Notamacropus eugenii: one gene and its partners. The protein of the gene in region 4 purifies or fractionates together with the protein of the main gene of each other region. This does not show direct contact. Links are inferred from orthologs where the notes say so. Each region holds a gene or a part of one and is shown on either strand. Other genes may lie near its edges. The genes, in order: PHF5A, RBM17, GEMIN5 and SNRPB2.

Region 1 (8,306 bases), on a different chromosome or scaffold from region 4:
GTTAACCAAGTATGATGAGCAGAGTCAAGCAATCCCAAGCATTTTCTGAGCTGCTCCCTGAAGGCAACCCCACCTAATGTCATTACTTAACTATAATGGGGAAACCAAGGAGTGTGCAACAAGGTCCACAGGCACAGTGTCATAATCCAGGAGAATCCTCTCGGGGTGTAGGGTGGGCAAGTCCAGAATATAAAAGCAATAAGAACCCAGAACCCTAGAATCTGACTTATCCACAAATGTTTTGGGGTGGGGGGTGTCTATGGGAAAGCTGGAGTCATTTGGCACCATCTCAGTGGGATTTTCTATTATGGTGACATGGTACAATGTATTCATGATACATCTTGACCAAAAGATGGTTGGCTGGGGCGAGTCTGCATTTATAGGCACTGTAGGGGATCCCCGGTAGTTGAAGGTCCTGATTCTCAGTTAGCTTAGCTAACCCAGCACAGTCAAATGTGCTGAAGGGCAATGTGGGTGCTAACAGCACCACACACGATTAAGAGGGATGGATGAGGGAGAAAGCTGACTGTGGGGAGAAGGGAGAAATAACGGACCAAAATTAGGTTTGTAGGCGTCAGCGACCCTTCCCCTTCCCAGTAATTCCACGAGAAATATTCTCTAACCTAGTCAAGTGCTTTTCACCTTTTGGCTCCAAACAGCTGGAAGGAGCCTGAGCCACAGACACCGAGCAGAGGTTGGCCTTCTGCTGTACACTGCCCCCTAACAAGGTGTGAACTCAGACATGCCAGCAGAGAGGTTCCTGATGCCCTGCTGACACTGCCATGTCTCGCCAGGGGATCTCTGGTAGAGGAAACCGCACATATACCTTCTTTTATTTACTGTCACAAAAAGTAAGTAAACTATGAGATTTACTGGCAGAAAATGGTTTTGGGGGCAGGGGTCTGTCACACAAATACTGGGAAAGGTCAAGCCTTCACTGAGCTCCCTGACGGATGATCACCTTTCCTTTGGGACTTCCCACAGCCCTTTTTCTTGTGACTTTCCAAAGTCTTTGTATTTTAATGTTGTACATTATAGTTACCTGTGCATCCCCTAACTTTGGAGCTCTATTTGGGGAGAGGCCTTGTCTTTTCTAACCTTTATATCCCCCCCAGTGCTTAGCAGGTCCCACGTAGGCACTTAAAGGTAAAAAACCTGCCTTTGGCCCTGGTCCACATCTGGGCAGCAAGTGTGGCTGGGGGCAAGGTGAGCAAAAATGCCAAGAGGAAGAGACTTCCCAAGTAACAGCCAGCTTGGCAGACATCCTCCTCAAAATCAACAACTGTTCACTGCAGCCGTGTGCAAAGTGACCTGCCCACTAAGGGAGGGTGCACATGCTCAGTCAGTGAATAAAAGCAGCACTCTCCAAAACATGAGGCCAAGGTTATCAATGTTTTCATTATGTGTTTTCTGCTTTGGCAGCTGGTGCAAAGAGCTCCCAGGATTTGGAGAGACTGGTCTCTACCAAAGGAAACAAGGAAGTCCAGAGTGTCAGAGGCACCCTGGGAGCCTCTGATAGGGACTGCTAGGCACTACTAAGTGACAGATGAGCAGCATCAGCGCACTCACGTCTTTCTCCTGGATGGTGCACTCCTTGCAGTAATAGGCGTCCGACACTCCTGGGCCCCCACAGATCACGCAGCGGCCCTGGTATGAGCCATAGTTACACTCGTCACATATCCGGACCAATGTGCATGGACGGACGTAGGAGTCACAGATCACACACTTGCCATCACCTGCAACAACAAGACACTGTGAAGTTCACCTGCAAACACCCACTGCTTCAACTCCAGTCACTTCTGTCCTGTGGATAAAGCGACACCGGATTCTTCTATCAGATCCACAGTGGATGCACCACTTGGATACTCCCTAAGTATTTCTTCCACAAGAGAAGCCAACTGGATCATCCGAGTCCTGTCTGGGACGTTCTCCCCTTGCCCCACCCCCAACAAAGCCCTGGAGCATTGCCATGTTGTAACACCTGCCTTTTTTTATAAATGTGCCAAATTCCTTAAGGCCTTTTAAAATTCCTCCCAGAGCCCCCACTGTCAGGTGTCTAACTGAGGTGGCCCTGCTCAGACACATTAAGAATTGTTCGGATTCCTTTTTTCTTATTAACAAACACTTACTGAAGGCAAGAAAATGGCTCCAAACAGGCAGGCAACAGCACCGCCCGACCAAGTGCCCCTCGCCCTCGGGAGGTGCATCCCACCCGAGGGGGTGCCGGGGGTTCATACTCACATTTTTCACACAGCCTCCCGATGGCTAGAAGAAACAAAAGCGCCACAGGGTAAGAGTTGTGAGCAGACTTAGGGCTTAACAATTCACATACGCGGAATACTATCGACCCACCCGGGGAAGGCGGGGCCTGGGGCTCAGTCACTAGCACTTACTGAGGTCCTACCACGTGCCCGCCGCTGGTCCGGGCGCTTCTGCCTCCCGAGGCTTACACGCGGCAGTTCCAAGCCAGCCCCCGCCGAGGACCCCGCCCCCTCCTCCCCCCGCCCCCCGCAGTGCGCAGGCGCCCCAGATGCGGCCATTCCGGCCAACACCCCCGGGCCCAACGCGCAGGCGCCCTGCTCCAACCGAGCCACGCGCAAGGCCCCCCAGCTCCCGTTCTATCCAAACTGTCACGCGCCGCCTACCCTTCCCTCCATCGATTTGGGGCGGGAAAAGGCGACATCTCACAGGCAGAAGAGGAAGAGTACCCCAAGACCTAGCTCCCACCGCAGAGATGCCCCAGGGCTCGAGACGGGTAAATCCCGACTCACCGACACCGGCCTGCTTGCGACAGAAGATCAAATCCGGGTGATGTTTGGCCATCGCCTAGCCTTGGGCCGGTCGCCGGATGCAGCCGCTGCTTCCGCTCGACCTCTGACCTTCAGTCTCCGCCTCCCCGCCAATCAAGGCCTCTCCTCCACTCAAGTCCCCTCCCCCTCCCGCAGCCTTCAGGGGTGTGATGAGATTGAGCGCCCTCTGGGCGCTCCTCCGTCCGTCTCTGACCGGGCTACCACCAGGGACAGCGATGGCCTTAGGCTCGCCCGGTGCTGTTTCTCTGCCTTGCCCACCCCCACCCCTATTCAGGAGGCCCCGCCCCCGGCGCCTGGGACCCCAGAGCCCTCTCTCCTCTGCTTCTCTTCAGGCTCCGCCCACAACCCTTGTGGGCGGTTCCGAGGCAGGCCACGCCCCCGCCTCGCGCCCAGGCCCGCCCCCGGAGCCTTTAAAGGCCTCGGCGCGCGCGTCATTTTCACGCGACCACATCTTTGTCAGTGCACAAAATGGCGCCGTATAACCTGCTGGTGGCCCGGCTGCAGGTGAGCGCCTGCCAGTAGGCGGGTGGGCTAGCGTGCGGCGGCCTGGGGGGCAACGGGCGAGAGGGGGAGGGCGAGCGGGCAGGGCCTCACCCCGGGCCGGCAGGACAGGCAGGTGGGCGGGCTGGCTGGGCCGGGCCGGCAGGGCGCGGCGCCCGAGGTCAGGGAGGGCATCCCAGCCCGGGCTCCGCGGAGCCCAAGACAGGGCCGGGCGGGGTCGCGCCCGGGGTTGGGGCGGCTCCTCCTGCTCCTGTCTGGCTGTCGGGGCTCGGCGGAGCCGGTGCCGCCCGCGGCCTCAAGGTGAGGACAAGGTGACCGGGCGGCGGCCTGCGTGCGCCCAAGGTCACGGGCTCTGGTCGCCTTCCTGCCCCCTGGGCACGGATGGGAAACTGAGGCCTTCGGCCAAGCCGCCCTCGACCGGGGCAGGGGTCGGAGGGATCGGTGCCCCCGAGGGCCAGGCCCTGCCTCCCCTCGGGGCGCGTCCGTGGGCCAAGAGTAGACGCGAGATGGGGGTGTCCGCCGCTTCCGTTCCCCCCTCCCCCGTGGGGACCAGGTGCCCACTCGGACTCCGTTCTCCACGAAGCACCGCGCCCCCTCCGAGCCGGCTGTGATCCCTTCCCGTGGGGCGGAGGAGGGGGCAGCCAGCCAGCCAGGACCCCCGCCGGCGCAGCAGAGGCCCGAGCCCCCTCCCTCGTCCCACACCTGAGGACAGGGGCCGGGCCCCGCAGGAGAAGGAGGCTCTGAAGCATCCGCAGCTGCCCTGTTAGCGTTCGCTGATGGAGAGAATGTGGGGCCCTGGGGTTTGCTCTCAGGCGGTCTGAAGGCCCCCAGGCCCGAGGCTCAGACCGTGGGCTCCGGCAGACTCTGCTCCAGTGGATGCAGTTTTCTTGCCTCATAGAGCCACGCTTGGGAAGAGCTTTTCCTTTTAAAATGCTTCTGACTTCTCAAATAATTCCAGGCCTGAACAGACTGATCCTGTGGGAGGGAAAAAACTGATCATTTCTTCTTGATTCTGCCATGGCATGATACAAGAAAGGTCAGAATTATGGGGCTTGGAAGCTAGGAACACCCCTGCCCATTCTCATTCTCAACCATTCGTAGTCGGTGGGACCACGGGATGTAATGAGAAGAGTCCCGGACTTGGGGTCAGAAGACTTGAGTCCTAGCTGCTTATTAGCTGGCCCAACGCAGACAAGGCTCCTTGTACTGCTGCGTCTGTCTCGGGGTGAAGAGGAAAGTTCTGAGTCTCTGACAACAGTCTGCGTTGCCCTTGCTCTTCCTAGAGAGTTGGTGTGACATCCATCAGTTTAAATAACCTCTGTGGCAGGCACTGGATCATGAAGGCAAATTAAACGTCTGCTGTCAAGAAGCATGGTGTCTATGGGCTGTGGGAAGGGGAAGGACAAACGTAAAAAGGTCTGTGTAGTAAGAAGTGCTTGGCAGGTTTGTGGTGAAGAGGGTACTGAAAGTGACGAAGGAGACGAAGGATTCTGAGACCCAGGTGGTCAGCAGGTGCTCCCTTGGGCCTTTGGGCCCTGCCTGCCTCACAAGGTTTTGGTACAGATGGCATGAGCCCATGTACCTTTGAGTGCGGCCTAGACTTGTGGAAACCTGAGGTGTTTATTGTGGCACTCACTGCCTCATTCTTCCTGGCCTGTGGCAGCCTCTGGGATTCTGGCATGTTCCTTTACCTGCATCAAGATGGTGGTAACTTTGCTTACACCCAAGTGCATCCTCAAAGGTTGGATTCTCAGCCCTTTCCAAGGCATGCAGATGAGGCCTGTCTAAGTTGCAGGAGGGTGTTTGACAGCACTGACTGCAGCAATCACAGTAGAGAAATGAGTGAGAAAAATGGGATGGCAAAGACTGGAGAAGGAATCCAAAGCTTTGCCAGAGCCCTGGACCTGTGGTCTGAGGCCAGGGGGGCCCAGTGCTGGTGGATGGGCATGAGCACATCATACTTTCAGGTCTCCAGTTTACCAGCAGACTTGGTACCTCTCCCTGATCTCTTCTTTTCTGGAGGAGCCAGTCTCATCCCATCTCTTACTTAGTCAGTGACTTTGTGACAAGTGTTCCCTGATGAAAGACCGATTCACTTGGCAAGAGTGCATTGCTTTATAAAGACTTATGTCTTTTTCTGAACGCTGGAACTGGTGATTTGTTTTGTCTTTGCCTGGTGTATGGTGAGGGTTAGGCGAGACCTTATGGATAGTGTCACAAAACGAGCTTTTCCTCTCAGATTCCTTCCAACTCAAGAGATTCCAAATTTTGGTTTTGGATCATCTTCCTTCCTCCCTGTCCAGTCATTACATATGTACACCGGGGATACATTCTTGGATCTCCAGTGAGAAAGAAGGTCCTACTTTGGGAAGAGAGTGGGGACCCCCCCCCAATGCTTTCCCAGCCACTCTAAGGCAGATCTTGCCCCTATCTGTGGGCCCAGATAGTACAATGGAAAGATTAGAGTCCTGCCCCATTGTATCTTGGCAGCAGCCATGTAACCTCTTTGGCCCTCAGGGGGTTAGACTAGATCTCTAAGGCATCTTCCAACTGGAATATTTTATGGTTTTATGATGACACCTTGTGATACTATTATCTTGGTGTTCCGTCCATGTTGGAAACAAGCTAGAGATCAGGAACCTTGTGTTCCAGACTTGTCTCCAACACTGACTTAGCGTGTGACTTTGGGCAAATACCTGCACTCAATTGTGGCACCTGGAAAAACTGAATAATAGCTACTCCCACATAATGTGAGTGCTGGCTTGATTCGTCGTGTGCTTGTAGCTTACTAGAACATGATTATAAAAGGTCAAATATTGCTCCTGCCTTTGTTTCTGTTTTTTCTTTGAACTTTATTTTCTACCTTCCTTCCAACCCCCGTCCCCAACTTGTCTAGTCAAGCAAAACAAACTCCTGCATTGGCGATGGTCCCCTACAAAAGGCGTCTGCGCCTGCACGTCAGCGCCCACTAGGCCCCAGCCTGTGCCTGCAAGTCCTCAGGAGTCATCCCTGGTCACTCCATTGATAGGAGTCCCGAGGCTCTCAGAGCCTCCGCTTGCTTTCTTCTGCATCAGTTCATGAAAGCCTTCTCAGGCTTCTTTGAAACTATCCGCTTCATCACTTCTTACAGCCCAGTGGTACTCCATCACATCCTTAGGCCATGACTTGTTCAGCAGTTCCCTGGTGGATGGGTACTCCTTTGGTTTCTAATGCTTTGCCACTACCAAAAGAGCTGCTATCAGTATTTCTGTATATGATGAGCATTTGAGATGTTCTTCTTTCTTGGATCTCTAGTAGTGTTATCTAAAGACTGGCACAGTTTAGTGGCATCCAGAGTAGCTGCCTGGTGTTCTTTCTTTAGGAGTCCCTTCTGGCTTCGATGCAAGGGAAGCACTTTTGGTTCTAGACTCACAGCAGAATGACTTCGTGGCTTGGGAAGATCATCATTTTCTTGGAGCTGCTCATTCCACAAGTCAGGCCTCCTTAGCGGCTGTGGAGAATGTCTGCTCCCCGCCTCTCCATTTCCCTCCCTGGCCCAGGACCCCTTGGAGCCAAATCAGAGGACCTGAGCTGTGTTCTGGGCTGGGGGGGTTGGGAGCTCCTCGGAGGACAGGTCCTGTCTGATAGAGAGGAAGGAGCCAATGGAGATAGCAGTAAGGAGTTACTGGACAGAGAGGTGGGGGGAGGGGGGATGTCAGGGAAGACCGGAGGGGGAGGGGGAAGAGGAAGTAGCATTTGAGATGCCCTTTAAGTGTGTGGATGCACCTTGTTAGTGGTAACAGGCTATTCAGATATAAAGAATGATTAATAAGTGACATCCCAGAGCCCCCTTTTCCCAACATTGACCTTCATCTTTTTTAAAGGTCAGAGAAGGAGGTCCTAGGTAGGTCTCCTGTTTCCCTCACTGAGAGAAGGAGCACTCCTCAATCCTTTTTCCATGACAGCCGCCTGCTGTGTCTGGCATTGGGCTAGACTTCCGGTTCAGATGGAGCTTTTCTGTCTATCACAGTTATTTCTAGAAATATCCATGCCCTGCCCCTCTCCCCTTTTCCTATTTAAATACGGTTTCCTTGATGTTTTTTGTTTTTCCCTCCGTATCCCTCTCCCTCCCAGAGAGCAATCCCACATGACAAAACGAAAAGAAGAAAAGGCTAACTGATACATGGAAAGAAATCCGAACCTGTGGGCCGTGGGCCTCATTTGTGGCCCTCCACACCCTGCCTACCACAGGGCATGCCGGCTGGGGAGGCAGAGGCTGAGCTGGCATGTACCAGCCGGGGCCCTACCACAGCACATGCTATCATTAGCCCATGTTTAAAGTCTTAGGAGCCGCCCCACTCCTCACCACAGCTACAGGCTGCTCTTTGTGTGCCCCCACAGATCCCAGCATTCTTGGTGGCCCCCCTTCCCCCCCGAACTGCTTATGAGCCCCAACCACCATCTCAGTGCACCCTGTGCTTTCCTGCCCCCAGCTCTTTGCACAAGTGGCTCCTCTCTGCCCATCTTTGAAAACCCACCTCAGATTCTGCCCCCTCCAAGATGCTTTCTCTGAGGGGCCCCCCCAGCCTCTTTCTTGCCCGTATCACATGTTATTATGTTTTATAGTTGTGTGTATGTATTTGGGGAGAGCATGGGGGTGATGTTGGAAGTTCCCCTTCCCTGCTGTCAGCTCCAGGAGGTCAGGAGAGAACCGTGTTTTAGCTATCTTCTTCTCAGTTCTCTACCCACGCTGAATAAATGCTGCTTTACTATTAGGTTCTCAGTAAAATTCCGTGTAGAAAACCCTGCCCCTGCAGAGTTGGGTTGTCTTGGTTTCATTTTGGCTTATGGGAACTCTTCCGGAAAATGTGACTTGCCCCTGCTGAGCCCCCCTGAAGATGCCTGCCAGCTTTAGCCTCTGCCTGTTGCTTAGTGACCAAGGCTAGCTCTGTCGCCTGGTGGGAGGAGATTATTAGATTCCCCAGCCCCAGGAGAAAACCTCAGGTTGGACCGTGG
Region 2 (7,350 bases), on a different chromosome or scaffold from region 4:
AGGCTGGAATTACCAAATGTCTGCTAGACATCATCTTGTGCATATCTCATAGTCATCCCAAACCCAACATGTCCAAAACAGAAACCATTAACCTTTTCCCAATCAACCCCTCTCCTAATTTCTACTAAAGGCACTACAACCAGTGGGTCAGTAAACATTTATTAAGTACCTACTATATTCTAGGTACTTTACTAAGCATTGGGGATACAAAGTAAGGCAAAAGACAGTTCTTCCTTTTCAGGTTCTTAGTCTAGTGGAAAAGACAACATGTAAACAGCCAGGTAAAAAAAAGATATGAACAAGATAAACTGATAACAGATTATGGAACATAATGAAAGACTTCTTCCAGAAGGGGAGATTTAGCAAGGACCTGAAGGAAGCTGAAGAAGGCAGTAGTTAGAGAACCCCAGGCATGTGAGATAGCCAATGAAAATGCCCAGAGTCCAGAGAAGCAGTAAGTTAGTTATTTAAAGGACACCAAGGGAGGTCAGTCACCCAGGTTCACAACTACTCTCCCACTCTCCCTCCCTATCTCCAATTCATGGAAAGGTCTTACTGAGTCTGCCTCTACCACATGTTAAGGGATGTTAAGGGGTCCCCTGAACTTGTCTTTTTGAGTTGCCATATTTTCCAGAAACAATGAACCCAGAGCATGCAGGAAACCCTAAACGTGTCAAGGATGAAGCTGACATAATTTGTCATTGCACTCCCAAGCTGGACTCCCTGTGTGTCCTTGAGAGGCAAAACAGGTGCCAGCAAGTCTGTGCCAGGCTAGGACAATGTTTGTGCAGCCAGGGTCCTTTGCAGATAAGCAGACCCTCCTGTCTTTCGTAGTCTAGCAATTCCCAAGGGAAAAGAATGTGGCTTTTGCCTTGGCCTGCTCCTCCCCCGCCTTGCTGCATGGGTCCCTTTCCCATGTCACACTCTTTTCTGGCATCCCCTCCTCCCTCTGTCCTACAATTATAAAAACGAAAACTTCTGTAATAATTGTGAACTTTTTGCTTCACATTCATTTCCACATTCCTTTTGTAATAAACCTAGTTTTCACCTAAGTTTTGTACAGGTGTGATTTCCTATTGGTGCATATCTCTGCATTCTATTACTATTTCTGTTCATACAACAACCACCCAAGTTCAAGCCTCATCACCTCTAGCCTTGGCTGACAATAAATAGCCTCTTCACTGGTTTCTTGCCCTTCAGTTTCTTACTGATCCAATCCATCCTCCACTTAGCTGAGAAACTGATATTCTTAAATCCCAGACCTACTCAGGTCTGGGCTCAGTTCAGGCTGAAGAAGCTCGGGTGGCTCCCTACTGTCCCTAGGAGGATAAGAAAACAAACGCCTCTGTCCAGCAAGTGAGGCCCTTCAAAATCTGGCTCAAACTTGTCTTTCCAGGCTGATTCCATCTTATTCCCCTTCACAGATTCTGTGTAATAGGATGTTCCGACTGCTGCTTCTGTGCCTTTGCAAAGACTTCCCCCACCACCACCCCATCCCATCCCCTTAAGTCTGTCCCTCTTCTTCCTTCAGACTCCACTCAAAAGCCACTTTTTACAAGAAGAGGCCTTTCCTGATTCTTCCAATTGTTAGTATCCCTCCACCTTGAGGTCACTTTGGGGTTTTTTGTATATTCATTTATCTGTAGTATACTCTTTTGTGCTCCTACCCCATCCCCCAGCTGTTGAAAGGCACAAACTGTTTCGGTTTTTGGTTTTTTGTTTTTGTCCACGTATCCCTATTACCTAACTCAGGTATGTTCAACTGCAGAAATTTAATAAGCAGCCCTTATGGAACTTCCATTCTTTGGGAAAAGTTGAGGGAGGGGGAGAGGGAGCAAGCAGGCAAGCAGGGGAATCCTTTTCTGTTTTGCCCCAACAGACTATGCCTAGGGGCTGACCTTAGGGGATAATAGTTCCTTTTCAATACAGAAAAACCATTTTTCTACTCCTTACCAAGTTACTATCTCACTATCAAAGCAGCTGTTCCAGACCTTTTCATCTTTCCTGCAGTCTTCCATGGTACCCTCTCTGCCCCACCCTTAACTCCACCCTCCAAGCTGACTATCCTATCTTTTACTGTCACTGAAAAATTTGAGACCATTTGCCAAGAGTTCCCCTTTCCCTCCTCCTGAGAAAAACTAGGACCGGACACTTGGTTTCTTTTTGAACAGACACCATCTGTCTTTTGAACATCACTTAACAGGATGTTTTCTAACTGGATGTTTAACTGGAGTCTGTGATCCCTCCTTCAATTCATCTTCCACTTAGTTGCCAAGATGCTTTTTTTCTACTCAAAAAATTCCAGTGGATCTCTACTGCCCCCTAGATTAAATACAAAATCCTCCTGTCTAGTCATTAAAGCTTTTTCCTAAACTGACCCCTTCCTGCTTTTCTATCCTTTTTAAACTTTATTCCCCTCCATCCTACTTGTTCCTGAACAGACCACTCCTTCTCCTGATGACTTTCCACTAGCCTGAAACACTTTCTCTCTTTGCTTGACCTCAGCTTTCCCGGCCTCTTCCAGAAGGCTGGTCCTCGCTGGTCTCTCCAGTCCCTAGCGCCTTCTGCTCTCGGATGGTCTGCCTGGTGAGTTACCCGGACTAGGAGCTCCGGGAGCCGAGGGCTGTTCTCGCCTTGGTTCGTCATCTCCAGCCTTCACCGCAGCGCCCGGCCCACAGCGAGCGCACATCTTGTCGATTTCCAGAGCCTGGATTGCCTACAAAGTGCAGAGCTCGGAACACTTACCAGTCCCCTCTTAGGGCTCGGGGTCCTCACCTGTACAAAGAAGACTCCTATTTGTGCTACCTGTCTCACAAGAATTCTGTGAACTTATAAGCCAGCTCGAACTAGTACTGTTACTGCAAGGCGTGAGTGAGTTGTTGTTCGTCCTGGGTTCTTGAAGAGGACCAGGGATATCAGGAGCGGGGCGTGACCTGGATTGAGGTGAGGGCCTCACTGTCCCCTCGGAGGTACCGTTGGCAGGACACAGGCTGGGCTGGCCCAGGGCGCAAGGGGGGACCTTGGCCTTTCTGGGTCCTTCCCAGGTCTCACTTGGTCTGAGGCAATGCCGGATCAGGAATGAAAGGCGAGGTAAGAATTGAGGCCGAAGATGGCCTAGCTTGCCTTCCCAAAAGGAGGGGAAGACCATAGCATAAGCCTTGGCCATGCTCTGAGCCATCAGAGCCCAAACAATGACCTAGAGGCGTGGGCGGGGACCTGTTATTGGCCAATCAGTGAGAGCCAGAGGGATGTGGTCAGCTGGCTCCAGCTGATCCCCAATGGACTTTATTCAAGCCTGGCTTTCCAGGGCTTTATTTCAAGAAACCATAAAAGAAAACTACACTGGGAAACAGGAGTTAATGGCAGGACAGCCAGAAGAAGGACAGGTTGGGGAGGCCCCGCCCCTTAGAAGGGGGAGGTAGAGGCTGGAGGAGCCGAGGCTCCGCCCCCACTCGTGGAGCTAGACTGTCTCCTCTCCGCCTCGCTCACACGGCGCCCCCTGCTGCCTGGAGGTTGATCCCGCAGCACAATTTCTCCCTCCTGCGGCACATCTGCAAAAAGAAACTGAAACGTGGCCTGATTTTGCTGCAGAGAATAAGCCACCTCCAGAAAAGAAGGCAGCCAAATGGAAGGAAAAATATGAAGCGGCTATCGCAGCAACCTAAACAATTAAAGGAAAACCTGAGACCAAAAGCTGTGGTCCCCAAAAAGCTGTTGTTTGTAGAAACAGAAAAGACGTGGGCACGACCAGTGACTGGCAGTGGGGGTTACTTTTCTTCCCTTCAGGCTGGAAATCAGCACCATCCTCCTCAAATGAGTCATCAGGACCAAAGTTCGAATCCTGCCTCAGACACTTACTAGGTGTTGGGATCCTAGGCAAGTTTCCTCATCTGGGAAATGGGGGTGTTGAACGACTTTAGCCCAAAGCCATCAGAGAAAGAAGGACCGAGGCCAGAGGGAGGGTAGCAGGAAAGGGGCCAGGTGCTGTCAAGTTTTACCTCTGGGATGGGATGGCCTGTTGAACGCTCACCTGCGCAACTGGGGGCAGAGCTCGCCCGAGGGTCCTTCCCCAAAGCTCAGAACCTAGGGCGAGGATGGGAAAGAGGCGAGAGTGAGGCGTGCTCCTGGCCTCCCACCGATAGATGTCGCCCCACAAGCAGACGCCTGCTCCTCCCGCCTAGCCCTGACGCGCGCTCTCCCCGCTACCGACCGCGAGCCGCCGCTTCCTCCACGCATTTGGCGCAGGGATTCGTACGGACCGCGGCCGTGGCGTCTCCTGACGCTTACGCCGTTCGCGTTAAAAAATCCTCCCGCCTGGCTTCCGGGGCCGCTCTGCCCTTACGCGGTTGGTGGAGCTGCGGAGCTTGCGCACTTCGGCTCGGCTGCCCCAGCCACCTCCTGCCCCGCTGCCGCTGCCGCTCCGGCCCATGGGGAAAGTCAGCCGGGCCCCCCGGGTGAGTAACCCCCTCCGGCCCCCCGCCCCGCGCACAGGCTCCCCGACCGGCCCCCTCCGCTCTTCCCCGAGGCCCATGCAGGCCTGGTCCGAGCGGGAACGCCGGCCCCCGGCCCCGGGGTCGGGCCGGCTCTAGGCCGCGCTGCGGAGGGGCCGAGGGAGACTGGCCGGCCCGCCTGGGGCCCAGACACCTGTCGTCTCCCTCCAGGTCTTTGCTGGGCCCTGCTCCCGGCCCTCTCTGATCCCCTTCCTTCCAAGGGTAAGGGGCGCTCCGCTCTTGGCGGCTTACCCCCCACCCCTTCCTGCTTTCACCCCCTGCCCGCTTCCCCTTCCCGCCGCTCCCCTCCCCTTCCTTCGAAGAGCGAGGAGTCTCCTGCTTTTAGTTTCTTTCTGGAATCCCCTCTTCCTACCCCCCAGCCCCTCCCTCGCTCTCCATGCCCCCCCCTCCTCCCTTGGCCCCTGCCTGCTGCCCACTCTTACTCCCTCCGTCCCTTCTTTCTCCCCCTCCCACCCCTTTCCTGCCCTCCCCCTGCTCCCCCCCTTCCTTTCTGCCACCCCCCTCAGTCCCACTTGTTGCAGCTCCCCCCCTCCTTTCCATCCCCTCTTCCTCCTCCCTCCCCCTTTCCCCCTTTCAGACCCTTCTTTTTAGAAGCAGCTCACAGCCCGGTGAAGAGGCCGTTGTGGAATTGGTGGGGTTAGCCCAAAGGCCTCATTTCGTGCTTCAGAAAACGAAGCCACTAGTGAAAAGGATTGGGTGCTGGGGGGAAATGAGGGGAATCTTAGACAAAGTGGCCACCCCATTTTAGCGTTTATGATAGATTAGGCCAGGAAAGCCGGGCCTAGTGGACTTGTTTTGGGAGAGTCGGTTTCAAAGTTTTCTGACAAAGCATGGATAGGGTGCCACAGACTCAAATTTTACCTGGAAAGCCTGCCTAGGAGCCATAAGAAGCAAGAAAGAATGAATTGTGAAAACCCCAAGAAATACTTCTGATGAGAAGGAAAGGAGAGACTTACTGTATGTGCAGAGAACTATGGGAGGGTTGGTGGAGCTTACAAGATTTGGGGGGGAAAGAGGTTCAAAGAAGTGCCTGGTGCTCAGTAAATGAAACGATGGCCACCCACAGAAAGGAGAGCTACCAGACTCTTTATTTTTTTTGCTTTCTCTACTAAGGAAAATGATCTTTGGATTGGAAAGGAAAACACAAAAATGGCCAATAGGGAGATGATCGAGCAGAGATAAATAGGAAAAAAGTTGCAGAACAGTTAGCTCACTTTGAGGATTTTGAGTTACAGGACTCCAAACAATTGCTTTCAGAGTACTGAAAGAATGGACTGATGTTCTTGCTTAGCAGCCACTCTGGGGTGATATCTTACAGTTCCAGGAGGATTCTGGAGTTCTACAAGATTTAAGAAGCCTACTATTTCAGGGACAGTAACGTGAGTTAGGAATACAGAAACATGGAGGGTCTTGTTTGAGAACCAGCAAGGAAGCCAGTGTCACTTCACTAGGTTATTTGGGGGGAGGGCAGGCTCAAGGTGGCTAGTAAGATATAAGAAGACAGGAAAGGTAGGAAGGGGCAAGGTTATGAAGGGCTTTAAAAACCACAAACAAAGGATTTTATGTTTTATCCTGATGGTAGTAGGGAGCCACTGAATTGAGGTGAATAGGGAGGTAACATAGCCAGGCCTGTACTTTAGGAAGATCACTTTGACAGCTGAGTAGAGGGTAGATTGAAATGTGAGGAAAGACATGAGTCCAGGAACCTAACCGCAGGCTATTGCAATAGTCCAGGTGTGAGGAGAGGAGGGTGTCAGTGTCAGGAGCAAAGGAGGCCTATTCCAGAGATGCTGGACAGGGCTTGACAACAGATTGACTATGGAGAGAGGTGGAGGGAAATGAGACTGAAGAATCTAAGATGACTCCTAGGGCTAGAACCTTAGGCCCTGGACTAAGAAAGGAAGAAGGTTCAGTGAAACATTAAATTTTCAGCCCAAAAGGTGGGGCCTGCAGACTGATGAAAATGTTTGGGAAAGCTCCTTTTATGATTGGGATAGTGACTCAACTAGGGAGATAAAAGAATTGCCTTGCTTCAGTGGGATTCCAGTTGAAATTATTTTACTAATTTGTAGTGGACTCAGCAGCCAGCAGCAGAGATTATTGGACCTAGGCTTTGTAGGAGAGAAGGGCAGAGATATTTATTAAGCACCTTGCTATGTGCCAAGTGATTTACAAATATCTCTTTTGATCAGCAGAGTGAAGGATGGTTTGGAGTCAAGAGTAATCTAGAGGCTGTTAGAATAATCGAGGCAAGAGGTGATGAGGGTCTAAACTGGGTGATGTCTGTATGAGTGTTGAAAAGGGGGAAAATATTTTAGCAGTAGAAAAAACAGTGAATAACTGACCAGACATATGAGGTGAATAAGAATGGAGAGGTGATGGTGACACCAAGGTTTTGAACTCAGATGACTGGAAAGGTGATCATGTCTTTGGAATAGGATTGAGTTTGGGAGGGAAAAATGAATTTGGACATGTTAAGTTTGAGGTGCCTTTAGTAAGGGGCTCGTAGGACATTCTGATTGTCCAGAGCGGGGAAGGGAATGAACTCTGCAAGTTATAAGCCCATGAGTTTAAATTTGATTCCTGATACAATTCTAGAACATGTTAAGAAGGATGGATGATTTCTCAATAAGGGAGAAGTAATCTCAAAAAGTCAGTGTGGTTTCTTCAAAAACATGTCATTCCAGACTAATTTTTTTTTAAAACAGTTGTTGTGTTGGTAGGTGAGGGAAATGCCATATCATGTGCATACATATGCACGCACACACACATATTCATCAAAGCATGTGACAGAAATCTCAGAAATGATAGTTCAGTGAGATGGATTTGTAACTCTGTG
Region 3 (7,630 bases), about 210 Mb from region 4:
TAAATATGAAAGAACTTTCTAATAGCTAAAACTCTTCAATACTGCAACAGAAAGCTCCTTATTGCTAGAGCCTGTTTCCTAACCCAGAGTCTACAAATTTGTTTTTTAAAAAATTTTATTTCAATATCATTGGCTTCTTCGGGAATCTTATATATTTTATTTAATGTGTTCAAAAAATTCTGAGAATGAGTCCATAGGTTTCACCAGACTGTCAAAGAGGTCTATGATACAAAAAAAGGTTAAGCCAAGGATAGATGATCATGCTTCCAGCATGCTGTAGAAAGAACTCATTGACTGGGGCCAAAGGTTGGACCAGAGGACTGCCTCAAACATCTTTGAGATTCTTGAAAAAAAGAACACTCTTAACAAAGAATCAAAGCAAATATTTCAAATATTCCAAATAAAAACAAGTTACCACTCTCCCTACCCCCTTCCTCCAAAATGCAACAGTACATACCCAATGGCCACTAAATCTTCATGATGAGGTGAACAAGTAATGCAAAAGATCGTCCTGGGTTCTGGGAAGAAGTGCTGGCTGTCATTTCTGTTATTCCAATAACAAATGACTATTCCCTTTTCATCCCCTGATACAATCAGATCCTTTACTTTAGGTGACCAATGCAAAGCTGATATGGTATTCTTTAAAGGAAAAAAACCACAATTTTGAAGCTTATTAGCTAAATAACTTGGTAAAAGAAACTGAAAAGGTTACAGTGAACAAATAAAGGGATAGAGAAACTGGCCAGAAAAATCCAAGGAACAATTTTAACCACTGTTCAAATATTTTCTCCATATAACTTTACACACAAAGGGCCTGCTAAGTAAAATTTATTGGTCCCATCTTCCCTTCTTTGCTTTCTCAAAAGGAAAAGTACTTCTAAAGGAAGAAGAATCCTATGGCAGCATCTTTTACTACATCAGTGCATTAAAACTAGATAGGAACTACATTTTAATATGGTTTGGATACACTTGGAAGTGTTGTGGGTTATATGTGACCTATGGGCCACATATTTGACACCTCTGATTCAGGCAATCCTTTTCTTATAGTTGAAGAGGTATATGGTGTCATTTCTAAAAGGATAAAACAAATTCCTAAAATCCTGGAGCAAAGAAAATGAGGTCATAACACAATTAATAGTTAATGGTAATGTGATAAGAAAGTCAGTGGGAACAGACAAACGAGATAGTACAAGCACATATGACTTTCATTTCTATAATACTTTAAATTTAGTAAGTGCCTTACATGTATTCTCTTATTTGAACCTCACAATAAACCTGTGATAGTGACTACTATTACTCTTATTCCCCATTTTACAGATGAGGAAATAAGCTTAGAGCAAATAAGTGACTTACCCATGGTCTTACACAGCTAGTTAATTGTCAGAAACAGGATTTGAACTATGGCCTCAAAGGAACTGTAAATCTTCATTATGCAAAAGTCACACTGAGAAAACAGTGTTGGATTATATTACCTGATGGAGTGTATGTTCTGTCACAACTGTTCTATTTTCTACATCCCAGATTTTCACTGTTCCATCATCAGAGCTACTGGCACAGAAGTTGATTGGACCCACATGGTGAGAAAATGTGAAGCCAGAAACCCTTTCTGTGTGTCCTACCAACTCTCCTAGGACTATAAGAAAAAACAAATATCAGTTTAAAATGCCATATAAGAATTACTGCTATTGACCAAAATGAACATCCGGAGCAACCTTGATTAAACACCCTATTTTGCAACTTCACTGGAGAGAAGCTTTGTCATATAAGATATGCCTTATATGAGACATATCAACCAGATTATATGTATGTGGGCCTCAGATTTACTTTTCTAAGTTTCTAATCATCAGCTGGTAGTTACTTTTTCTTCTTCAAGCTGTCTTAAAATTTCAGATTGAAAGGACAAAAGGTCCTCAGAGGTGATCAAGTCCAGCATCCTTATTTTTCAGATGAGGAAACTCAAGCTCAGATGGGTTAAATGATTTGCCTAAGGTCACAAAGATGAAGTAATAATCAAGGTTTTAATTCAGGGCTTATTCCACTACACTACAGACCTTCAGCAAGCACAAGGAGAGGGTGGAGCAGTTACCCCAAGCAGATTCATTGTATCTCTTCACTGGGATGGATACTGATGATGATAAAATAATAATATGTACACATAACCTCAGGGCCCCCTATTATTTTCTCTCTTGGTAAAGAGTGCCTTCTTGTCTTTCTGGTTTGGCCCCATTGTCAATATAACCAGAAATAAATCAATTAGTAATAACAGTTTGTCATTATGTTTTATACTGTGTTACTGACAACCGCCAAGGAGGTTAGGTAGGTGCTTGTGGTGACTTTGCCAGCTCACTAGGAATCTGAGGTGAGTTTTCACCCAGGTTTTCTCATCTCAAATACATGGACTCTACCTGCTATGCCTCGCTGACTGTGTGTTTGACGGATTCATTTTTTCATTCAACAATATAGGGTGTTGCAAAAGTCTTAAAAATGCACTCAGACTTTTGGAATGCCTTTACAATGGACGCCTCCTCATGGGCAGGAATTGCTACTTTGTAAAGAGTTTCTCCCTCATCAGCTGCTTACCAAATGCCTCTTGACTGGCCATTCATTCATTCAACTTCAAATAATAAACATCAATAAAGATATCTAACATGGTATCTCACGAGCCTTACAACAACCCTCAGAGGTAGGTGCTACTGCTACCACCATTTTACAAACGAGGAAACTGAAGCCGAGAGAGGAAGTGACCTGTCCTGGGTATGGACAACGTACAAGCGTCGGAGGCAGGATTTGAATTCGGCTCCTCCTTCCTGACTCCCGGTGCTGCGTTCTATCTACTTGTCCTTAGGTTGACTTCCATCAGGGGGTTCTTAAACCGTGGCCGTGGCCGCCTGATGAAGCCTAAGCACCACTTTTTCGGGGTGTTTTTCAATGCAAAATAAAAAGGCACGCAGAATTACATGGGATTACACAGGAACGCAGGAAAACTGAAATAATTGTACAAAAAAGCTGCGGCACAAGTTCCTGACCTCGGGTTCAGGAGCCCGGCCGCACGGCAGTCCCCGGGGCAGGGGGTAGGGGCCAGGCCAGGCGGCCGGTAGATCTCGCCCCCCTGGGGCCGCAGGGGGCAGGCAGGGTCAGGTCGGGTCGGGCCGGGGCGGTTACCGTGGAAGGGGCTCTGGCCCAGGCCGATCTGGAGCAGGTAGACCGAGGTCCTCGCGGCGAACCCGAACAGCCCCCCCGGGCCGGCGTCGCTGGAGCGGGAGCAGTACCAGTTGGGGGAGGGCGTAAGCATCCGCGGCTCGGGGCCCATGGCTGCGCGGCCTGGCAGGAGGAAGGCGGCGGCGTGAACACCACGCTCTCCCAGGCCGTTAGCTCCGGCCGGCGGCGTCGCTCTGCGGCTCCTGTCGCAAAGAAAAGAGAGCAAGCTCCTCCAGCCCCGCCCCCTTCATGCTTCCCCCCGCCCAGGCCCGGCTTACCCCTTCTCCTACGGTTCGCCCTGAGGGTCAGGCCGCAGAGAACGCGTTCTCCTCTCGTGGGGGGGGGGGGGAGGGGGGGCGGGGGGGGGGCGGGGAGAAGAGGAGGCTTCCTACCTGTTTGTTGTCCGGTTCTTCTTGGTTTGAGAGAGGACTTTTTCCTTCCAAAGCTATTCCCGTAAGGCATCAGTAATTCACTCTAATTCTCTAGGACTTCGGCCTTTGTGCCCAGTGGCACCCCGAGTTAACCTTTCTTTTCTTTTTTTTTTATTTTTGGTTTTGAGGTTTTCTTTTTTTTTTAATTTAATTTTATTATTATTATTTTTTAATGTTTTACAATCACTGCCATAAAATTAAGATTTTATCCCCCCTACACCTACCCCCCACTACCCCCCTCCCTCCCCACGACAGCATGCAATTCTGTATAGGTTCTACATATACTTTCCTATTGAATACATTTTCACTATAGTCATGCAATGTAGTCGAACTAAAATAAATGGAAGAAATCATATAACAAATCAAAACATGATACGCAAAAACACACACACAGACATGATCTGCTACATTCTGCGAATGACTTCCATATTTCTTGGGATTTTTTTTTTAATAAGTTCTTGTGTTATTATGAAATTCCAAGTCTAGCAGAAAAAACTCTCGCACACTGTGGTCGTTGCTGTGCACAAAGTACTCCTGGTTCTGCTCCTTTTACTCAGCATCAGATCATATAAGTCCTTCCAGGCCTCTCTCCAAGTGAACCTTTCTTACCTCCCACAGCACTAATTAAAAGGTTGCCCAGGGCTCAGTCACCACCCTGTAGCACCTTGGTGTGGTCTCTCCGTTTTTCTGTAGCACAAATATCCCCTTGTAGTCAGAGCACAGATGGCATGCTTATAGAAGTCTTAGGTATTGGGGTTTAGGGATAGTTGTGAACAAAAAAAATCGAGAAACCCAGACTCTCCAGCTTAGTGTACATTCATAGTTAACATTCATTATCTCAGTTTATCCTCACAAAACCCTGGGAGACAGGTGTATAGGGTGGGTGGGAGGTAGATAAAATTTTTATGCTAATTTTACAGATGGGGAAACAGGAAAAAAGGGTTATATGACTTGTCCAGGGTCACACAGAGGCTGGATTGGAATTCACCTTCCTGACTCCTAAAGCCAGGGCATCATCCACTCCACTGCCTAATTACCTTAGCTTAGTGTACATCCATAGTTAACATTCATTATCTCAGTTTATCCTCACAAAACCCTCGGAGATAGGTGTATAGGGTGGGTGGGAGGTGCATCAGTGAAAGTTCCCCACACAATGAAATCACAAACCACTTCCGAGGGGAAAACATCCATGCATCATCTGCTAATACACATATATAAGCATATGGATAGATGGTATTAACAAAGGCCAGAAATGAAACAGAGGCCAATCACAGGTTACAGAAGCGTTTATTGTCTCAGTAGAGCTTGCACAATCAGAGCAGAGGGGGAGAGTTCTCAGCTGCTCAAAGGGGAATGGAAAATGAGATATGTATGGTTTCTAGAGGTGGTGGTGGTGGGCTAAGGTTTGGGGGTGGGGGAGTCTGTAGACACAATGAGCCAGGTTTTGAGTAGTTCAAGGCTGGTCAAGCTATTTCAGGCAACTCCAAGTTTGTCTACAACTCACTTGCAAATGATCACCAGTATGTCAAGCAGTCTTGGGCTCCTCCATTATCCTGCTGCCCTGTAAAGAAGGAAGCTCCAACATATCTATCATCATTACAAAGTTCATGTGTACAAGGCATACTTAAGATCCCAAAAGAAATAGGGAAATCAAAACTTTGCAGCTCAGTATACAGGACTAGCCAATATCTTTATAGCTCTTACTATGTACCATTTACCATTATTATCTCAGATGATTCTCACAACCACCCTGGGAGGTAAGTGTTATTATTATCTCCATTTTACAGATGGGGAAACTGAGACAAACCGGGTCTATATGACATGCCCGGGGTAACATAGCTATTAAGTGTCTGAATTTGAATTCTGGACTTCCTGACTCCAGGTCTCTTACTCTGTTCACTTCAGCATCTAGCTGCCCAGGAGGTAAAATGGGCAACTGTGGAAAAGTCAATTTTCTCATCACTCCCAGTAATTTTCAGACTAAGTTATTAATGGCTGCTAACTTGTATGAGTGATTTAAATCATGAGTCCAGACCAGAACCAAATCTTAAAATGGATTAGAGCCTGGAAATGATCTGTGATGTGGAAGTGAGCCTATACCCCATCAGCAATGGAGATGACTCATTGATAGCTTATGTTTGTCACATGCACAAGAGATCCACAGAGGCATAAATTTTAGTTCAGATGAGGACCACAATGGCCTATTAGACAAAAAAGAAATGAGGGCCAGTTTAAAAGTTTGTCTGACTTTCTGTGTCTCTTGCCTTGAGGTCTTACTTCCAGTGATTGAAGGACTTTCTGAGCCAATGATCCTTCAATGTTGATGAGTTTCCAGAATCCAGGTGCCTCAGTCTTCATCTAAATAGCACAGCATTAATGCCTGTTCTAAGGTTTGAAAAGCATTTTACAAACATTATTTCCGTTTATCATCACCGCAGTCCGGGGAAGTCGGTATTATTATCACCGCCTTTTCACTGGACTCTTTCCTCTTTGCATCTGCTCCCTTTCTTGGTTTCACCTCCATAGAAGAAGACGCCCCTGGGCCCGGGCCCCCAGGTGGCGTCACCCCTCTCCTCTAATCCTTTTCTGTCTCCTTTTGGGGGGTCTCCCCCTTTAGGTTGTAAGCTCATTGAAGACAGGAAATGCTTTTCATTTTACTAATCGTCTCCCCAGCCTTTAGTCCAGTGACTGGCATATAGTTGGCACTTAATATTTATCGGTTTGTGTTTTACAAATGAGGTAATTGAGGCTGTCTTATTCGAATTAGGGTTTTCCTGATTCTAGGTGCAACGATCTATCCGTCTCCACAATCTATTGGGGACGGAAAGAGGAATTCGATTTTTAAGTGCAAATACCGGTATTTCTGGAGCGCTTTATCTTGTCACCAGTGTGCCTCCTGAAAGCACGCCAGGTACTTTTTTACGACCCAGAGCTAGGGTTATCTGCAGACCACGTGGGAGCTTCCCCCTCCCCTACACGGGGTGGGGGGGTGACGGGGGGAGAAAAAAAAAAAAAAATCTTGGCGCATGCGCTCTGCCAGCCGCGGAGCTTGACCCTTCGCGACTACCGTAGAGCGAAGCGGAAAGATGGCGGCTGTCATGCTGAGAGACTTAGGTTAGTAATCGGCCTTGAAGCCGGGAGTTGAACCAGCACTTGGACCCAGAGCCGGCCTAAGGTGACGGGTTCTGTTTCTTTTGCAGGTTCGTCTTGGCTGAGGAGTCTGAGGAGCCGCGGGGCGTGTTCTGCGGGGTGAGTCGGCCCGAGAGGAAGAAAGCTGGAGGGAACCTGGGATGTCCGAGGCTGAAGCGGTCTTAGAACGTGGGGCGGTAGGGCTACCCGGAGCCTCGACCCCACCTCGCCAGCTCGGCTCTCCGCAGACCAATCAGCAGACTTCACTGAAGCGCCTGGGGGCGGGGTTATAACCCCCCCCCCCCCCCCGACGAAATAACCTCCTGGACTGTCCCCTGGGGGCTTCTAGGAACGTAGAACGTAGGGTGTAAGAGCTGACAAGGGCCTTAGAATTTAGAGTATCGGACCTAGAAGGACCTTAGGGGCCATCGCGGCCCACTGCCCGAATTACTGGGGCCAGTCTGGTGGCTTTCCACTTCAGTAGTGATCACAAGCACTGGAAGAGAATGGAAGTCTAGGAGCTAGAGTGATTGGAACTGGGAGTGGCTTTGTCTGGAATCAGTGATTTTAAGAAAAGCTCTTAAAGAGGGAAAGGGATGTGTTTGGCTTTAGTAGAAGAGACCTTTGTAACAATAGGTCACGTTAGTGAAAAGTTGCGTTCGGGTTTGCTTGGTAGGCAAGGACAGTGGGAGCCCTCCATACATCTGGGGTGCATTCCTTCTTCGTTTGCCTGTCAGAATCCTTGAAGTCCTTCCAGACTGGTCATACTTGATTACTTCAGTCTTTGATGTTTCCTCCTCAAATGACTTTGTACTTGTCACTGGTATACATGTGAGATCGCTGCTCAGTAAATGCAGGCTGCTAGAGAGCAG
Region 4 (8,275 bases):
AGTTTTTGCTCATTTTTTTGGCTACACTGCCAATTAAGACTCTCCCACTGAGAAAAGAGCCATTATAATTGACTAGACAGTATAAAGATTTTATAAGATAGAGTAAATTCAGTCTCTCCACTTACAAGCTTCAAATAGCAACAGCAGGAGGCAAGCTGTCCTTGAAATTCAATCTGTAGTTAGTCTTAAATTGTTAAAATCAGATTTGATGCACCTCCCACCTCTCTTTGCAGAGGTGAGGTTCTATGGGTGTGGAATAATCCATATACTGTCATGTATGACTGAAGTGTCTCGTTTTAATAAACTGTTATTTACCCCTCTTTTGTTTTATAATCTTTGTTACCTACAATGAATCACTGAATAGGTGAGAAGGGTAACCATACATTCCTAAGTGAAAGTAACATAAAATAGACAAATGACTTAAACTAATACTTCAAGCACAGGAATAAACAACTGAGGTAAAGGAGGGGAAAGATAGTTTAAAGAAACCTTTTGTAGTGTTTGCTGTCTACATCCAAGATCAGTGCTATTTAAAATGTATGATTATATGGGAAAAGTTTGAGAGAATATCGTTAATTTTGCTCATATCAAAGTATTAACTCTCATTAAGGAATAACAAGAAAAAAGCATAAAGAGTACAAGTAAACTTGGTTTACAAATTCTAACACAAAAAAAGTACTTTTTGAAAAGAGGTCATTGTACTTGGTACATATGAAAAAATAAAAATTTATTCAATGCAGAGTTTATATTTTGTAGCCAATTTCCTATCAACCAACCAGATATATAACCTAACACTAGGAGCCAAACAGATACACAAAAACATACCTTCTTTTTTGATTTTATCATTCATATTGTTGATATAAATTGTATGATTTGGCCTGATATCCATGTTTTGGATTAAATTTCAGAGAAGCCTAGAAATAAAAAAAAATTCATTTTAAAAATTCTCTGATCAGCAGTTTAAACTGGTGAAGCATTCATCTCTATTTCTTTCTAATGTATTTTACCTCACCTGATTTTCTAAATCAATGAATCAACCAGCACTTACTAAGCTCCTATTATAAACAAAGTAACTATACTAGGTGTCTGAGTTGGCTGGTTGTTGTCCTTCATCTTGAGGCCCAAAATGACATCACTACATTGGTACTACTGTGATCAGACCAAGAGGAGTTTGGTCTGCATAAACAGGACATTTGGGATGGATTCTCTGAAAATGAGCATCTTGCATTTCTTCTGGGCTACTTCGATTCCGCTTTGCTCATACAGCACAAAGCCTTCTTTGATGCCAACATGCCATGTTCAGTGGTCCATATCTCCTATGTCCCAAAGTTCTTCAAAGAAACCTTATAGACTGAAGCTAGAAGTGGAAAACTCCTCCACCTCTAGGAGCTTACTCAAATAAAGTAGGGTCATTTCCTCTCATGCCCAGAATTGGTGAATTTAAAACTCAGCTTCTGAAAGGTAGATATCACATAGTTACTTTTTGGATCACTCTCTCCCCACCCAAAGAAGGATCCTTCCCCCTCCAAATACACATGACTGGGTACCAGGTCACTAAATGGCTCTCAACAAGACGCCCTCCTCTAGTGCTCCTCAGCTCGGGCCCCTGCTCCCCAGGTCTCTGCGGCTGGGGCTATAACCAAGAAGCTGGCAAACCTCTGGGTTTAACTGGCATATTCTCTGGCTGTGCCCCACGCCTGAACTCCTTCCCTCTTCATCTCCCCTAACCTCTCACAAGGCCAGCGCCTTCCCTCTGCTCATTATTTCCTGTATTTCCTGCATACAGTCTGCACCGCACATATTTCTATGCAGTTGTTTCTTCTAGCAGAATGTAAGCTCCTTGGGGCCAGGGGCGTGCTTCTGTCTTGGGTTTGTACCCCCTGCCTGGCACACAGTAAGCGCTACATAAGCGTTAGCTGCTATCATTATTAATGCTAGTGTCTTCTCTGTTACGGTTTATTCTGTATATATACACGTGTGTGTGTGTGTGTGTGTGTGTCTCCCCCACCATACTGTAAGCTCTCCAGAGCCCCAGCTCTCGTCTCCCGCCTCCTGCACGCCCGGCATTCAGCGCACCGCTTGACACACAGCAGGGCCTTCATATTTACTGCCTGAACGATGTCTTTGGCTCCTAGCTCCCCTTAAGTCCCAGCCTACGCCTCCTCCTCTACAGGAAGCCTTTCCCTGTAGCGCTTGGCACAGCGCCTGGCACACCGTAGGTTTCCCGACGGCCGGTGCCTCCGTATGACCCATTTTCCGTGGATCCGGTCCACAGCCGGTCTGTCGGCCCAATTCCCCACCGGACGCCGGACAGGGCCCGTCTCGGCCTCTTTGTGTATCAAGAGGGCTCAGGGAGCACCGTGCCCCGCACCCGGGAGGGGCTCAACGATTTTGGGCTGCCTGGCTAAACTGCGGGCGTCCGGAGCGAGGAGGCCCCGGGAGGGCCCCGCCCCCGCCAGTCCCAAGGCGGCCTCCTCTCCTTCCCATCCCCGGCCGCGGAGCCCGCGGGCTTTCCCCGCTCGGACCCCACGCGGGCGAGGCCGAGCCAGGAGAGAGGGGGAGAGGACAATCCCCAGGGAAACTGCGCCTGCCCCCGGCAGTGAGAGAGAAAGCATAGACAAAAGAGGCAACTCCGTCACGCACCTCGAGGTCCTACCTAAAGGCTTCAGTTGCCTCTCTCAGTGCTCGCTCCGCGCCGAAACACCGGAAGAGAAATGAGAACGGCCGGAAACGGAGTACCTGGAGAGACAGGCACCTCAATTAAATACCGAGCGCCGAGAGCCGGGCGCCCGGCTCGTGGAGAGGGCGAGCGCCGAGTGTGTCGATTCCCCGAGAGGCCTCGGGCTGTATAGTCCGCGCAGCGCCTGCGCTCAGGGTCCCAGTGGAAGGGTAGGAGAGCGGCGTTGGGGAAATGGGAGAGAAAACGGGGGTAGCTGGGTGGCGCAGCGGGTCCGGGAGACTGCAGCGTTCCCAGGCTGGCCTCCGTGTGACCCTGCACAAGTCACTGAACTCCATTGGCCCCCGTGTCCTCGCCAGTAAACGAGCCGGGGAAGGAGATGGCCAAACCCCCCCGGTAGCCCTGCCAGGAAAGCCCCCAGGGGGCCGCGGAGAGTCGGGACCCCTCAGAGAGGGCCTGCGTATCTGGGCTGTGCGTGGGGGGCAGTGGTTCCTGTCTGTGTTTGTGGGCTAACCCGTGTCCGAATTGTTAGGAAGGCGTTTGAGGACTTGCGTGTGCCGTCCTCACTATTATCGATCAATAACCCTCCAGTGCCTCCTGGGGGCCAGGCACTGCTGAGGGCACTAAAAGGGGCCCTCAAGGAGGTCACGGTCCAACGGGGAGACAGTAGGCAAACAAACACGTACAAAGAAAGCTACTTAGAGAGTCAATGAGTAATTATTTTAATTAATAAATAATTGATAGAGAGAAGGCGCTTGAATTAAGAGGGGTTGGGAACCACTGGATTTTAGTTGGGACTTAAAGGAAGGATAGGCTCTATTCCCAGTTGAGGATGAACGTTGACAGAAGCAGCTAGGTAGTTCAGTGGGTAAGATGTAGACTTGAACCCAGACCCGAGTTTAGGTCCTGCCCCAGACACTTTCCCACCTGGGAAATACTGATGGGTAAAAAGCTTGGCCTTGATGTTGAAAAGCCCTGAGCTCCAACCCTGTGCCCTGGGGATATTACATCACCTATATCACCGGGTGGCTTCAAGGCTCAAACGAGAGAATGCGTGAAAAGTGTTCTTAAAAACTGAAGCTCTGTATAAAAGTTAGCTATTATCATTGTACTTGATGTGGGGGAATCTTTTCCACTCACATTTGTAGTTACCTGGACAAAAATGATACTGAGATCCTGGAGGTGGAGGGCCAACGGAAGCCAAGGAGTCAGTGATATTTCTTGAATAGGGCCAAGATTGGCCTCAGTTTGTGTAAACTTAGGACTCAGGTTTCTGGGCCACAGATCTGATTCTGAGACACTCACTGCTAATCCTCTGAACCTCTTCACCAAAGTAAACACCCATTGGGAAATCTCAGATGCAGCCTGGCAGTTGTATACTCTACCCAGCACCAGAGGGAACTTGGGAAAACTGCCAAACTTTCTATGATCCTCAGAGAACAACTTTCTGTTCTCCAGACTTAACTCTTCCTGACTTCCCCTGTTAGTCTAATGAGTGGGATGATACAAGGAATGCTCTGTCTGGAATCAGAGGATCCGAGTTCTAATCCCAGCTCTGCCCACTTACTTCCTTTGCAGTTTTGGGCAAATCACTTAATCTAGCAGGGTCTTAGATCCTTAACGGTAAAATAAATGGGTAGGAGGAGATGACCTCTAAAATTCCCCTAGCTTCAAATTTTTTATCCATTGAACCTGGGAGCCCAATAGGAAACCTCAGTTTCCTCCTGGAACCTGTCATATATTTCACAAAGGACCTTAATTATGTGAACACAGGAAAAGAGTGTAATCTGGGGCTCAAACCAGTTGATCAAAGAGTGTTGATTAAATAATTACTATATTCCTTAAACCTGGGGATATAAAGAAAGGCAAGGAGCCTTTTGCCCTCAAGGAGCATATATTCTAATGGGGGAATAATAGCTAGCATTTAGATCCAGTTTTGAAATTTGCAAAGTACTTTATAAATCCCCCAATGAAGCTCCTCCATACTTTGGATTCAACCAATGATTCCTCTGTACCTCCAATGGGTGCTATTTAGGTCCTGACAGCTTATGGAGTAAAAAAATGGAGTTAAGACCAATATCTGAATGCCACTTCCTCCCTTTTCTTATCTCCCTACCCTTGAACTCTCAATATTTACTTCTAGCACTAATCCATCCCTTTTGCTACTATATAGTCTTTTCTTCCTCCCCCTACATTCCTCCAGCTCTTTGGCTCTTTCTAAGAAGAGTATACATCTTCTCAACTTTATGGGTGAAGTTCTCAGTTTATTAAGTGAGGCATAGATACAACTCTTGTTATATTTCTAATCGGATTCATTAATGTTCATAGGATCTCAAGATTTAGATGATAGAATCCAACTCCCTTACTTTACAGATGATGAAACTGAGTCCCATAGAAGGGAAGTAGCTTAATGCTAGGTGTACCTCCAAGCTTTCCCGCTTTGGTGCTGCATAAGGTTTTACATTTGGGTTCAAAGAGACAGCTTCACAAGTATAAAATGGAGAAAGCCTGGCTACATAGCAGTTCACATGATAAAAATCTGGAAATTTTAGTACACAGCAAAATCAAGATGAGTCAACAATGTAATATAGGAGCCAAGTAAGATAGTATCATCTTAAGCTACATTAAGAGAGGCATAGTGTCTAGGACTAGGGAAGTGATAATCCCATTCTACTCTTCCTGGTCAAACCTCATGTAAGTTCAGTTATGGGTGCCACATTTTAGGAAGGACATTGATAAACTGGAGAATATCCACAAGGGAAACAAAGAGAATGGTAAAAGATCCTTGAAATCATGCCACGTGAACATCAGTTCAAGAAACTAGGAATGGTTAATTCAAAGAAGAGAAAACAGGAGACATGAGAGCAACTTTTAAGTATTTCAAAGGCTGTTGTGAAAGACAGACAGACATTTCTAGTTTGGCATCAGACAGCAGAATTAGAAACAGTAGGTGTAAGAGGCAGGGCAGATGAAGGCTTGATGTAAGGAAAAACTTCTGAACTAAAGCTATACAAAAGTTAAATAGGCTACTTACCTCAGGAGGTAGTGAGTTCATTTTCTCTGGAAATCTCCAAGCAACAGCTGGGTGATCAATCATCATTGGTTATTTTGTAGAAGGAATTCTTGTTTAGATATGGTTTGGACTAAATGGAATCTGGAGATCTTCCTGTCTCTGATTTCTATCCTTTAAACAGGACCATATTTTAACCTTCCATCAACCAAATTGTTTTCAATGTCTCTCTTTCCAGGTTTATATATATCCCATATAAACTTCTCAGTTTAATCAGGTCCAGCTGTTTGGATCTGTTTGATTTTAACAGGGCAGAAAGAGCAAGAGCCTGTGACCCAGATATCTGGGGGAAAAAAAGTGAGTAAGTAGGATGAACTGAACACCTACTGTGTGCCAATTTAGTTCTTAAAGGTCATCTTTAGTCAGCTTGGGAAGCTCCCATATTCCACTGGCCTAGAGGATTGCAATAGCCTGTATCAGTAAAATCACAGCTGGTCCCTATCTCTAGGTCCAATGTTATGGTTCTAATCTTCTGCAAAGAAATCTATTAACTCAACATATAAGCAGAAAGAAATGATACACTACATTTATTTCAAATCCTTTTCCTATTTAACAAAGAATCTCCCCCAGTGAGGGCTGCATTGGTGGTTTTACTATATAATAAATAATAAATAGATCTAGACCCATACTAGGCCCTTGTCCATCACCTAATCCTACTTTCACAGGCCTAACTCCATAGGCCAATTACACCATGAAAAATGAAGGGGGTCCTAGTGCTACACAAGGCAATAAAAAGGCCACCCAGAGCAGTAGCACAGTAAATTAGTTTTGTTGTTAATCATTTAGTTGTATCTGACTCTTAATGACCTGGTGGACCAGAGCATGCCAGGCCCTTCTGTCCTGCACTATTGTACATGGGGTTTTCTTGGCAGAGATACTTGAAGTGGTTTGCCATTTCCTTTTCCCTTGGATCACCTTTTGTCAGAACTCTCCACTATGACCTATCCATCTTAAGTAACCCGGTATGGTGTAGCTCAAAAGTTTCATTGAGGTATACAAGCCCCTCTGCCATGACAAGGCAGTAACCCAGGAGGGGAAACTGGTTTAGAGTAAGTACTCTTCTGTTGCAGTGGTAGTATTATCTAAATAGCATTAACCATATTCATCCTGTAAAAGTTATCCTCACCCCTCCCCTGGGGGAAATGCTGGATGACTATTTACTAGGTGAGTTCTAGGAGGAAAATCTTGTTCACAGCCTTGTAAGTGACCTCTAAAGTCTCTTCCAAATCTTGGCTTCTTTGATTTCAGTTAAGAAGTTATGATTTACCTTCCCTTGACAGGTTATTTGTTTTTCTTTTATTGAGCCAAACCTAGAGGCAGTATTATTATATTCTAGCCAAGCCAAGCTTCATATAGTTGATCATGATAAAGCTTGCTTCTTTTGGGGGTGACAGAAATATTACTACAAACAGTTGGAAATGAAACTGCTATGGAGCTTGAATTATAAGGAGGAGAACTGATGAAGATCTTTGTGACTCCCAGACCCACATACATTTTCTGGCTTATCTGCACTTGTTTTATTGGCCTTATTAAATATGTCCAATATCTTGCTGTGGTAGTTTGGAGAAAGGGTAATGTTTAAAAGGGGAATGCATCATAAAGCAGAGGTGGATAAATATTTTGGTTTATTTATATAACATAAAGCAACAAAATGTGGAACATGCAGTTTGTTTATGCCTCCTTCCCCCCAAATAGCGATTACAATAAGAAATTTATGTACAGTGAAATTATTTTTTACAACAAACATTAAACAAATCAAAACATGATTGTTGGGCACCAAATCACCATATAAAACAAAGTTTTATCTTTTCGTGAATTGTTGGAATTACATTGGCTATGGACTCAATGAAACCTAGAAAAAACTTTGAAAGCAAAAACGAGACTATTGTTCCCATCCATTTCACTAAAATCTGTTTTTCTCTTTGTGGTTAAGTGCTTCGGAGAAAAAAAAGAAATAAAAACAGATTTTTGCCTCTGATGTGTGAAGTATATACAATCCTGGCCCAACCTTCACATACACCAGGAGGATACACCTCTTCAGGAGAGCTATAGTTTGAGACAGACTGGAATAATCTATGTGTTCCATTAAGGTAGGCAGCAATATTGTCTGGTTTGAGGAAACTGATTGCTTATCTAAAGCAGTGCGAAAGGTGTGAAAAGAACTGAAATTGGGATTGTTCGATACTGTCAGGTGGTTTAGATTAAGTGTTCTGTATTGTATTGCTTGTCTGCTACTGAAGCCCGCCAAAGTAACATCTTGGAAATACCATCCCCTTAGGAGACTCGGAAAAATAAGATGCTAATCTCTTGAGAGAATCTAGGGAGCAAAATATCATGGAAAAAATTGATGGCTATAGCAGTCTTTGCTCTTCCTGGGAGAACTCACTACAGGTTCTTTTGCAGCTTCAGCCCTGGGGCTGATGTGAATGAACTAAAAACAAAGTGATTTTTCTGATGACCTATTATGGTATCTGATCATTGTTAGAAAGGTCAATACTCTGACTCCTTGATGGATTGCTTTTTATGTT

The links.
Region 1: the proteins of SNRPB2 (region 4) and PHF5A purify together in Homo sapiens (affinity purification with mass spectrometry; 4 studies listed by BioGRID and IntAct, with this or other methods). This does not show direct contact. The link is inferred for Notamacropus eugenii from reciprocal best matches to the Homo sapiens genes SNRPB2 and PHF5A.
Region 2: the proteins of SNRPB2 (region 4) and RBM17 purify together in Homo sapiens (affinity purification with mass spectrometry; 3 studies listed by BioGRID and IntAct, with this or other methods). This does not show direct contact. The link is inferred for Notamacropus eugenii from reciprocal best matches to the Homo sapiens genes SNRPB2 and RBM17.
Region 3: the proteins of SNRPB2 (region 4) and GEMIN5 purify together in Homo sapiens (co-immunoprecipitation; 3 studies listed by BioGRID and IntAct, with this or other methods). This does not show direct contact. The link is inferred for Notamacropus eugenii from reciprocal best matches to the Homo sapiens genes SNRPB2 and GEMIN5.

Annotation. Positions count from the first base shown.
Region 1 is NC_092874.1:300,548,959-300,557,264, forward strand, and holds the start of PHF5A (PHD finger-like domain-containing protein 5A), read right to left. Parts: upstream 3,178-8,306; 5' UTR 2,824-3,177; coding exon 2,772-2,823; intron 2,266-2,771; coding exon 2,242-2,265; intron 1,737-2,241; coding exon 1,570-1,736; intron 1-1,569. Other genes in the region: ACO2 (aconitate hydratase, mitochondrial), read left to right, coding at 3,279-3,314.
Region 2 is NC_092874.1:178,123,341-178,130,690, reverse strand, and holds the start of RBM17 (splicing factor 45), read left to right. Parts: upstream 1-4,192; 5' UTR 4,193-4,454; intron 4,455-7,350. UniProt on the Homo sapiens protein: Splice factor that binds to the single-stranded 3'AG at the exon/intron border and promotes its utilization in the second catalytic step. Involved in the regulation of alternative splicing and the utilization of cryptic splice sites.
Region 3 is NC_092872.1:383,300,317-383,307,946, forward strand, and holds the start of GEMIN5 (gem-associated protein 5), read right to left. Parts: upstream 3,414-7,630; 5' UTR 3,311-3,413; coding exon 3,163-3,310; intron 1,634-3,162; coding exon 1,473-1,633; intron 640-1,472; coding exon 458-639; intron 1-457. Other genes in the region: MRPL22 (large ribosomal subunit protein uL22m), read left to right, coding at 6,716-6,743, 6,830-6,878. UniProt on the Homo sapiens protein: The SMN complex catalyzes the assembly of small nuclear ribonucleoproteins (snRNPs), the building blocks of the spliceosome, and thereby plays an important role in the splicing of cellular pre-mRNAs.
Region 4 is NC_092872.1:591,276,781-591,285,055, reverse strand, and holds the start of SNRPB2 (U2 small nuclear ribonucleoprotein B''), read right to left. Parts: upstream 3,123-8,275; 5' UTR 2,657-3,122; exon of another isoform or gene 2,644-2,656; intron 915-2,643; 5' UTR 890-914; coding exon 826-889; intron 1-825. UniProt on the Homo sapiens protein: Involved in pre-mRNA splicing as component of the spliceosome. Associated with sn-RNP U2, where it contributes to the binding of stem loop IV of U2 snRNA.